Linked DNA regions of Sus scrofa. The protein of the gene in region 1 binds, or shares a complex with, the protein of each later gene. Links are inferred from orthologs where the notes say so. Each region holds a gene or a part of one and is shown in the gene's direction. Other genes may lie near its edges.

Region 1 (4,871 bases):
AAACTCATTGGAGTTCCCACTATGGCACAAAGGGATCATGGGCATCTTGGGAGCACTTAGACACAGGTTTGATCCCCGGCATCGTGGGTTAAGGAGCCGATGTTGCTGTGACTCAGATTTGATCCCTGGCCCTGGAACTCCAGAACTCCATATGCCACTGGGTGGCCAAAACAAACAAACAAACAAAAAAACAAAAAAACCTCATTACACAGTCACTCATTCATTGCTGCTACAGATGTTAATTAAATGCCCACCATGCGCTAGACACTGTGCTAGGGCAGGGAAGATGCACTAAACATTTAAGAGTATCTCTGAAAAAGTGGCTTTACACCTCATCCAACCATCCATTCAACAAATGGGCAGCCCACAGTGAACAAAACAGACAAAAATCCATGCTCTCATGGAGCTGACATTCCAGCAGGAGAAAAACAATAACTATGATTAGCTAATCATCTAGCCTGTTAGAACGTGATAAGAGGAACAAAAAATAAGAAAAAGCAGAGAAGGTAAGTGGTTTAGTAGCATGTGAGAGGGACTTTGGCTGCTTTAGTCAGGGTGGGCAGGAACAGTCCCACTGATAAGGTGACATTTGAGTAAAACCCTGAAGAAGAGAAGGGACGGAGCCATGAAGGTACCAGGGGGGAGAGTCTATGCCCAACAAAAGGAATAGTCAATGCAATGACCTTGAGGTAGATGAGTACTTGATTTTTTTTTAGCAAAGTGGCTGGAGACCAGTGAGTGAAATCCAGGAAAAAAATGTTTAGTTTACGGGGGTTTCCCATCCTCCTCCCCCTCCTTTTTTTTTTTTTTTTTTTTAAACAAATCAATTACTTCTTTTTTTTTTTTTTTTTTCGTCTTTTTGCCATTTCTAGGGCCCCTCCGCGGCATATGGAGGTTCCCAGGCTAGGAGTCGAATCGAAGCTGTAGATGCCGCCCTACTAGAGTCACAGCAACGTGGGATCCGAACAGCAACTGTAACCTACAGCACAGCTCACAGCAAGGCCAGATACTTAACCCACTGAGCAAGGCCAGAGATCGAACCCGCAACCTCAGGGTTCCTAATCGGATTCGTTAACCACTGAGCCACGACGGGAACTCCAACAAATCAAATAAATACTTTTGAAAAAACTTATTAAAAAGATTAAGATCAATCAGTGTCCTGGTTCCAGGTCAAGTTCCCGGACTCAGACAGACAAAGGTCGTCCAAACTCACTATTTATTGACTATGATCCCAACTGAGCTAGTTCGCCCCGCTGAACCTCAGTTTTTAATCTGTAAAACGGATATTAATAACAGGGTTGTGACGAGTATTCAGCAAGATAATGCAAGTAAAGCACTTGACGGGGTGTCTGGCACATAGTAAAAGTTCAAAAGCTGTTTCTGGCCATAATCACCCATGCCTGCCTTCTACCCCCCATGACTGCTTTTGAGAGAAGGTGGGAAGGACTGTTGCAGGCGCCTAACCATTTTCCCCTTTAAGAATCTCAGCCGGCTGGAGCCAGCCTCCCCGCACCCTTTCCAAATTTTCCAATCCCGGCTTGGCATTTTCCTCCCTAAGGTTTCCGATTGGACGATCTTCACCAATCAGAGGCTGGAGCGGACCCTGCCGGGCACCCAGCTCCGCCCCTGAGCCGGCCCTGCCCCGGGCCGGTCAGCCCCGTTGCTATGGGGACTGGTGGGCGGCGAGGGGGGAAAGCCCCGGATGTTCGTTGGGGATTCAACATGGCGGCAGCAGTGGCCGTGGTGGCGGCGGCGCAAGAGAGCTGAGGGCGGCGTGAGCGCGCCAAGTTCCGGGCCGAGCAGCTAGGCCGCGAGCGACTGCGGTGCCGAGCCGGTAGGATAAGCGATCTGGCCAGGCGACGTGGGGGGGGTCCGGCGATGGCGGTGGGAGAGCGTTTACGGGAATAGGGGGCGGGGCCGCTGGGGTCAAAGTTGACTCGCGAAGGAAAGGGTCGCGTCGTGGGTGGGTCGCGGGTCTACGTTGAACAGGGGGGAGGTGTAGAGTAGGTCAGAGGTCGTGGTAGCAAAGGGGGCGTGGCGAAGGGGTGCAAAATTGGAAATTTGAAGTAGGAGCGTGTTGGAGGGGCAGGGGGGCGAATGTCTAAAAAAATGGGGGTCAATTTGAAGGGAGGATGTGCCTGCGAGGGTCTGAGAGTTGGAGGTTTAGGGCAGCAGCTAGTGGAGCAAATGAATGAGATTTAGGTTGGGGGACATCTGTATGGGATCAAAAGTGGGGCCTGACCAAAGGGGGCAAAGATCAGAACCTGGTGGCCCGACAGGTGATGTTCTCAGGGGTCAGAAGTTAAAACCCAGGTGGGACGTGTTGCTGAAGAGGAGGGGTAGGACATTCAAGAACAAGGTCAAGGGTGCTTCCTGCGGGGGCGGGGGGGGGCGGGGGAGGGGAAGAGGAGAAAGCCCTCCTCCCACAGATGATGAAAATAAGAGCAAACACTCCTAGAGCACTTACTGTGTGTCAGGCTCTGTTCTAAATGCTTTACATTACCTTTGATCGTGAACACAACCTTATGGGCTTGGTGCCATTATTAAGAGGTTAAGTGATTTGCCCAGGGTCTTCTCATGAGTAAGTGGTGCAGCTCAGATTTGAACTCGGGGTTCAGAGTTGTAGGCTCCGCAGGCTCTCAGATTCTCATGATGTTGGTTGATGCTTAATGAGAGTTAACATTGTACTCAGCGCCCTGTGTGCCCGGACTTATACCATAATCTTGTGAAGTGGGTACCAGATGGACCCACTTTACAGACAGACAAAGTGAGGCTCAAAGAGTTTCTACTGAGTGACAGAAGCAGATTCCAAGCTGAATCTTGAATGACCCCAGAGCTCCTGGCCCTAGTCACCACATCGTAGCTTGCTGAAGGTCTGTTCCTGGAAGCAGGGGGCTGGGCTGGGCAGGGCTGTCTCTTTGGCCTCCATGGAGGGGTGTGATCTGGGAGGAGAGGCTCCCCTGGGCCTGTGGGATGGGGTGTTTGTGGGTGGCCCAGAGTCCGAGGGAGTCTGACAGGCTTCTGGCGGGGGTCCTGGGGCGGTACCCTGGACAGAGTCGGGTGTTCTCTGTATTTAAAACCCCAGGCTCTCATCATGGTCTTCAGGCACGCCCATCCCACTTCCTACTGCTCTCCCCATCCCTCCCCAAGGTCCAAGCACACCGGCCTGTTTGCTCTTCAGCTCCATGGGCTCATGCCTCCCTCCAGGTCTTTGACTTTCCAGTTGCCTCTAATCTGGAACCTGCGCCTGACCAGCCTGCCCCCAGACACTCCTTATCTCGCTATTGTTCTCTATCTCGATGCTGGGCCCCTCGAGGGCAGGAATTTCTCCAGGTTGTCCTTTCCCTGAGTTTCCACCTGAAGCACTGCCTCGTCTGCAGAGTCTGCAGAGGATGCTGGTCGGTGGGGATTGAATGTTGGGCACGGGGCTGGGTGCTGTGTGCTGAGTCTGCAGCAGTGGACAAAATACACAGAGCCCCTGGCCCCTGAGGGCCCTCAGTGTCCCTCGGTGGGAGCAGACTGGACCCAGACCCCTAGCCTGTGATACATGGCTCCATCTCTACCAGTGGTGATGCCACCTGCGAGGACATGTTCCGGGGACCCGGAGAATGTCCAACCGGGGCCAAGAACTCTGTCCCTGGGCAAGCTCTGAAGGACGAGTAGGGGGATGGGAAAGCGTTGGCCAGGCAGGAGGAAAGGTGTGAGTGGAGGCCAGGGATGCAGAGTTGGGGGCTTGTGGGCAGCGTGTGGCCTGTGTGAGACCCCTAGGCTGCCCAGCCTGGTGGGGGCATTGGGCAGGGGCCGATGAGTAGCTGCCCCGTGTGTGGCACTCTGGGGTGGTACTAGGGAGTAATTCGAGAGGATGCTGGAGCAAGGGTGCCTGGCTCACACCCAGCTCCATCACTTACAGGCTGTGTGACTGTAGGCTGGGCCTGTTTCCTTCTCTGCAAAATGGGAATAATGATAGTGGCTACCCTGTAGAACTGCTGTGAGGGTGCAGAGCATAAACGCTAGGCCTAGGGCCTGGAACAAAATAGGAACTGGGTAAGCACTAATTTCTTTTTTCTTTTTATGGCTGTACCTGCGGCATATGGAAGTTCCCAGGCTAGAGGTCGAATCAGCGCTGTAGCTGCTGGTGTATGCCAGCAGGATCCAAGCTGCGTCTGCAACCCACACCACAGCTCATAGCAATGCCAGACCCTTAACCCACTGAGCAGGGCCAGGGATCGAACCTGCGTCCTCATGGATGCTAGTCAGGTTCTTTATTGCTAAGCCACAACAGAACTCCGGATTAGCACTAGTCTTGAGGCTGCCGCTGCTACAGCTCCCTGGGGAGGGTCTCAGAGGTGGTGGCATAGCCTCTCCATCAGCCTCCCGGCTTGCTCCGGCAGCCACCCTGCCCCCACCTGGCTCTGGCAGGGTCACTGTGTGGGCACATGGCCAGGCAGCCTTATGAGGCCGGCCAGCCTCGGGGCCTGGTGGTGCCAGCTCACTCGGCATCTCAGGGCTCAGCACAGATAAGGGGGTGGTGATAGGGCTTTGGCCCTGGACACACACATTCAGGTTCCTGCCCCATCACTTACCAGCCGTGGGACCTTGGGCAAATGATTTCTCTTTGCCAGTTTTTTCCTTGTGATACATTTCAGTGCAGTGAAAAAAGTGGGGCTTTCATTGTAGCAAAACACCCACGTTTCCAGTGTCCAACCTGGGACGGAGCACCAAGTGGATACAGTTAAAGGCCCCTCTTCTCTGCCCCCTCTCTCCCCACCTTCTCTGCTGATTGTAGCCCAGGGGCTGGATTGGGTGTCCAGCCTTCCTCTGCTGTTACTACCTTCGGGTGGATTCACAACTACAGAGCTATCGCACCAAAC
Region 2 (4,913 bases), on another chromosome or scaffold:
TCAAGGTCATCTGCAGCAGGTGGGCAGTGCCATATGGGACCTAGGTTCTCCATTCCCCTATACTACCGCTGGCTTAATGAATTTAGTGTCCACCTTTATTTCCCCAATGTCCCCAGCTGTGCCCGTGACCCTACCTTGCCCACATAGATCCCCTGCCACCTGGTGAGGCTGGGTGGGTTGAAGAAGGTGGTGGGTGGCTTCACATGGAGCAACTCCAGGGTGGGTGTGTGTAAAGAGCAGTTGAAGGAGAAAGAGTGAAGGATGGTGCCAGGTCCCTGGCTCTCAGAGACATTTATGAACCAGGGCAGGCAGTGATGATCTGTGAGGAAGAGACAATTCAGGCTGGAGGCTCTCCATGTTCAAGCAACCATATACACAAGCAGAGTCCTTCCCTTCTGCCTTAGGGCCTAGCCACATCTTGGGGACAAGCAGAAGTCTTTCCTTGTCTCTCACATCTAACCACAAGTCAGATCATTTCACAGACTAGGAGTGAGAACTTGGTTGAAGAAGAAGCAAAGATAAGGAATGAGGGCCAGAGGTTCAGATCTTTGTCCTTTCCTGGCTTCCTTCCCCCAGCCCCTGCCCTCCATGGGAGCTTATCTGAAAGGGGTCAGGACTCCACTGTGGAGTGAGGGAGGTGAGAACTAAAGTCCCCCTACCCACCAGCTCCTCACCAGAGACAACCAGAGCAAGAAGAAGCACCAGGGACCTGAGCAGCACCATAGCGGCCTGAAGATACAGACAGCAGAGGAGACTCCAGAAAGACAGACGTGTTTTTCAGGCCTGCCCCGTTGCCAGGTCAGTTGCTCAAACACAGCTGAGCAGGCGGTACTCCTGGGCCTCCAAGATTCTAGCCCCACCCATCCCTGGTGACTGAGTTCTAGACTCTACAGGCATCAAGAGGTCTGGAAATACCCATTTTTTTCACTGCTCCCAATGAATTCCCCAATTTATTACTACAATTTTGAAACAGACGTGAGAGAAGAATCAAGTTTCAGATGGGGAAACTGAGGCTCAAGGAAGTCTTGGTCACACAGTTCTTGGAGACAGAGTAAGCACAGGACCCAGGAAAACTGGGCCCAGGACCTGCTACCCCATAGCGTCTGAACTCTAGCTTCCCCCCCCATTAGAATATCACCTGCCTATAAAATCTGAGCCCAACCATCAACAAAATCTCTCAAAAGCTGTCTACATTCAACAAACAAAAGGTATCCTTGGCAATAGAAGCAAAAATAGTGGTTACTTTGGGGGACATCAACTGGAGGGGGCAAAAAGTGGCCTCCTGCCCTTACTCTCAGTGTGTATGTGGTGCCAAGCAGAGGGAACGTGAGTGTCGCGGCAGGAAGAGCAGATAACCGCGCGCTGCCCACTAGAGGGCAGCCCCGCCTAGCTTCGTACAGACGCGGGGGCTGGGCCTGGGCTCCGGCTGCTACTCCGTGGGGGCGGTGAGGTTCCGCGCTCCCGGAGTCATCCAAAGGGCCGAACCCCTTCCTGACTTCTAAGGACTGTCGAAGCCAGCCCCATGAACAGATTGAGTGGGTCAGGCCCCAAGTGGGCCACAGCACTGTCGGATGCGACTACTGGGGGCGCTCTAGCCGCGTGAGGGCGCAGCCACGGAACCCGCGCGCTGCAGGGGCCCCTGTGGGAGGGACCGCAATTCTAACCCGGGAAAAATGGAGAAGCTGAGGCTACCTCAGGGAAGCGGCTTGTCCTGAGTCTTGCAACGAATTCGGAGTCAGCTCAACCGCCCAGGACTTCGAGGACTCGGAAGCAGGACACTGCCCAGCTCTCGGCCCCTGTTCAGCCCCTCCCCCCCAGGGCTGTTGCGGAGTGGGTAGTGGGCGTCGGGTTTCCCACCCAGCTGGACCCAGGGGGCGGGGCCACATCAGCCCCGTCCCAGCCCCATTGGCTGCGGCGCCAAGGGGCGGGGCGGGGCTGCCAGATGTTGGGGCGGTGGCTGCTGCTGCGGCGGGAGCTACGGAGAGGGAGGAGCCGCTGAGCCTGGCGGAGGGCAAGGGCTCCGCTGGCCGGCCTTCCCGGCCCTCACCGCACCGCTCCTGCTGGAGTTCGAAGAGCAACTGGCAGGCCTGGCGGGGGCTCCGGCACGGGCATGCACAGCACTCGGCTTGACAGCTTTCTTGGCCAGCTCCGCTGGGAACTGGTGAGGCTTGGGAGCGGGTGTGGCTCGCTAAGACGCTTGTGGGGTGCTCGGCTGCAGTCCGGCTGGAACGACACATGGGTGGGGGGCTGTCCCGAGTGCCCATCCAAGGCAGAATGGGGGCGGGGCGGCGCAGATGGCCCACGTCGGGTTTCAGATGGTTGAGAGCTGCGCTGGGCATCAAGTAACAACCACCCAGCTGGCTGTGCTGTGCGCGGCAGAGGAAGTTGGGGGCGGGGGTGGAGGGAGAAACTTATTTGGGGCGGATGGGGGGGGAGGGCTGCGAGGGACTAAAGTGGTGCCGGTGCTGCTGTGAAAGCTTAATCCAGGCTGGCCTGTACCTCTGTCCTCTGCACCCCACCTGGCACGTGGTCTATCCTCTGAAAGACGTTGCGGGCTTTGGGGAGCCAAATCCCTAAAGAGGCATGGAGTGCCCCCCCCAGCCCTGAGCAGTCCTACTTCCCGATGTAGGCCCACAACACTGCCTCCCGCCCCGATGGCGGGTACCAACTTGCCCAGCTCAGCGTGCTGCAGCCTGCCAGACTGCCACCGGGTCCGCCAATGGAAGCCACATGAGCTTCATGTGCCAGCACCCCATGCCGGCCTTGTGCCCACTAGGGGCCTTGCTGCCTAGGCCTGCAGGCCTATCCAGCTCTCCTAGGCCTTCTGTTTTGGCATAGAACTGGCCAGGCAGGCAGGCATGAGAAGCACTGCCCCTCCGACTTCTGCCCTCTCTTCCTCCACAGCTGTGTGGCCGGGACACAGGCTCATCCCCCATGCCTGGCCCCCTTCCACCACCCCCCAAACCCGATCCAGGCGTGCGGCCCAAGCACCGGCTCAGGGTCTCAGATTCAGATGCCTTGGAAGAGGACTCAGTCTGTGGTGTGGAGGAAGAGGAGGAAGACGCTATGGTGACAGGAGACAGGGGTGCAGCCTTGGGAGGCCCCAGGGAGCATGCCCTGGACTGGGACTCTGGATTCTCAGAGGTGTCAGGCAGCACATGGAGAGAGGAAGAGCTGCCCATACTCCAGCACCCAGCACCCCCAGTATGGCCCCCTCATAGACAGCACCTCTCAGCCAGTAGCATTCCCCTGCCCAGTGGGGCTCCTGTGACCAGTGCACCACCTGCCCACCGACCACGGCCCAAGTCCACCCCAGATGCCTGCCTGGAGCACTGGCAAGGGCTGGAAGCTGAGGACTGGACAGCAGCCCTGCTGAGCCGAGGTCGCAGTCGCCAGCCCCTGGTGCTAGGGGACAATTGCTTTGCTGACTTGGTGCACAACTGGATGGAGCTGCCAGAGGCCTCAGGTGAGGGGGATGATGGGGGTGGGCCACGAGCCCGTGCTCGCCCCCCCCAGTTCCTACTTGGTCTCTCAGAACAGCTGAGGCGCCAGCTGGCCAGGGCACGCCGGGCAGCGCTGGCAGGAAAGCGACTCTCATGCCCACCTCGCCCAGAACCCGAACTGCCTACAGATGTCTCGCGCTTTGCAGCCCTTATGAGTTGCCGCAGTCGCCAGCCTATCATCTGCAATGATGTTGTCAGCTACCTCTGACCCTGCCCTCCAGCCTGGGACAATAAAGGCCTTTCTCTGGACGTCCTGGTTCCATACCCCTGAGGTTCCAGGAGGCAGCCTCAGACCCACAAGGCACAATTCAAGCAAATCTAGAGTCTTTTCCCTCCCAGCAGGGGTCCATGTCATGCCTGTGTCCCACCCCCATGTGCCTGCTCTGTGTTCCATCATCCATCCTGTCCACTTACACCTTCCTTCAACAAGCATTTATTGAGCACCTACTGTGGGCTTGGGACGCAGGGCTTGACAGAGCTGGATAGTGGGGCTGCTGCCTTTTCACAGCTCATAGTGCAAGGGTGGGAAGGCAGTGTCCTCCTCTTCACCCTCAAAGCTGAGCTCCAGTACAAGCACCCGCTGCCCAGGCTCAGGTGCTCGTCCTGTTACCTGCTGCACCAGATCTGTCACCCTGGTGGCAGGAGGAGGAGAGGGGTGGGAGAGAGATGGAATATGTGAGCAGTGGCAGGCAGAGAATGTCCTGGCATGGACTAGAGGGTGCTGATGGGCTATAAGGATCCCAGGCCAGGAGCAGCAGCAGCCCAAGACAGGAAACATCTGAAACTATTTTAGGAGTAGCTGGCGGGGCGGGCAGGAGGCAGGAAGCCGTGAGTCCCTTGGGAGTGGGCTGTGAAAGGGTAGCTGAGCAGGGTGTGGAGGAGCTGGTGGGGCTGGCCAAGCAGGGAGCTCCTAGAGGCCCTTCCTCAGGCTCTTGGCCCCTCACCCCACCCCCAGCCCATTTGTTGGCTCCATTTGGCAAAAGAAAACTTCAGGAACGTGTGAGGGGCCTGAAGGGCTTGGGAAGAGGAAAGCCTACTTGTCCCTCACCTAAAACCTCTAGGGACTGAATGAGACCCTGGCTAAAGCTAGGTGTGGGCTCACCTGAGGGAGAGATGATGGGCCCGCTTTTCAGGCGACCATCCTGCCGAGTAGAGCAGGGCTGGCCCGTGCAGCAGCATCCTCACCCTCAGCTCATGTAGTTCCTAGAAAGAGATAGGTCAGGTTCCAAATGGGCCAGGCTGGGCCAGACCTGGGGACAGGGCAGGAATGGGGCACACCTGGAGATGGGCCAACAATGACTCCAAGGTCCTCATGGGCTGCCCAGCAGGCACTTCCAGGCGGTCCCAACAGGTCCACTTCAGGTCATGGAACTGTGGGAGTGGTAGTGACGAAAGGTGAGAAACTTATAC

The links. Proteins that work in one complex are often made in the same cells at the same time.
Region 2: the proteins of PAK4 (region 1) and FAM212A are in contact, whole or in part, in a crystal structure (PDB 4XBU), measured with the Homo sapiens proteins. The link is inferred for Sus scrofa from reciprocal best matches to the Homo sapiens genes PAK4 and INKA1. Residues at the interface, in NP_001014831.1 of Homo sapiens: Ser331, Gln358, Arg359, Glu361, Leu362, Thr404, Asp440, Lys442, Ser443, Asp444, Phe461, Leu475, Val476, Gly477, Thr478, Pro479, Tyr480, Trp481, Met482, Arg489, Glu507, Glu512, Phe516, Asn517, Glu518, Pro519, Pro520, Met524; in NP_976248.2 of Homo sapiens: Gly178, Arg179, Ser180, Arg181, Gln182, Pro183, Leu184, Val185, Leu186, Gly187, Asp188, Asn189, Cys190.

Annotation. Positions count from the first base shown.
Region 1 is NC_010448.4:47,867,980-47,872,850, forward strand, and holds the start of PAK4 (serine/threonine-protein kinase PAK 4), read left to right. Parts: upstream 1-1,624; 5' UTR 1,625-1,834; intron 1,835-4,871. UniProt on the Homo sapiens protein: Serine/threonine-protein kinase that plays a role in a variety of different signaling pathways including cytoskeleton regulation, cell adhesion turnover, cell migration, growth, proliferation or cell survival.
Region 2 is NC_010455.5:32,328,416-32,333,328, forward strand, and holds FAM212A (PAK4-inhibitor INKA1), read left to right. Parts: upstream 1-1,456; 5' UTR 1,457-2,110; coding exon 2,111-2,161; exon of another isoform or gene 2,162-2,223; intron 2,224-2,904; coding exon 2,905-3,711; 3' UTR 3,712-3,752; downstream 3,753-4,913. Other genes in the region: CDHR4 (cadherin-related family member 4), read right to left, coding at 1-10, 135-319, 675-723; UBA7 (ubiquitin-like modifier-activating enzyme 7), read right to left, coding at 4,006-4,135, 4,606-4,706, 4,782-4,874. UniProt on the Homo sapiens protein: Inhibitor of the serine/threonine-protein kinase PAK4. Acts by binding PAK4 in a substrate-like manner, inhibiting the protein kinase activity.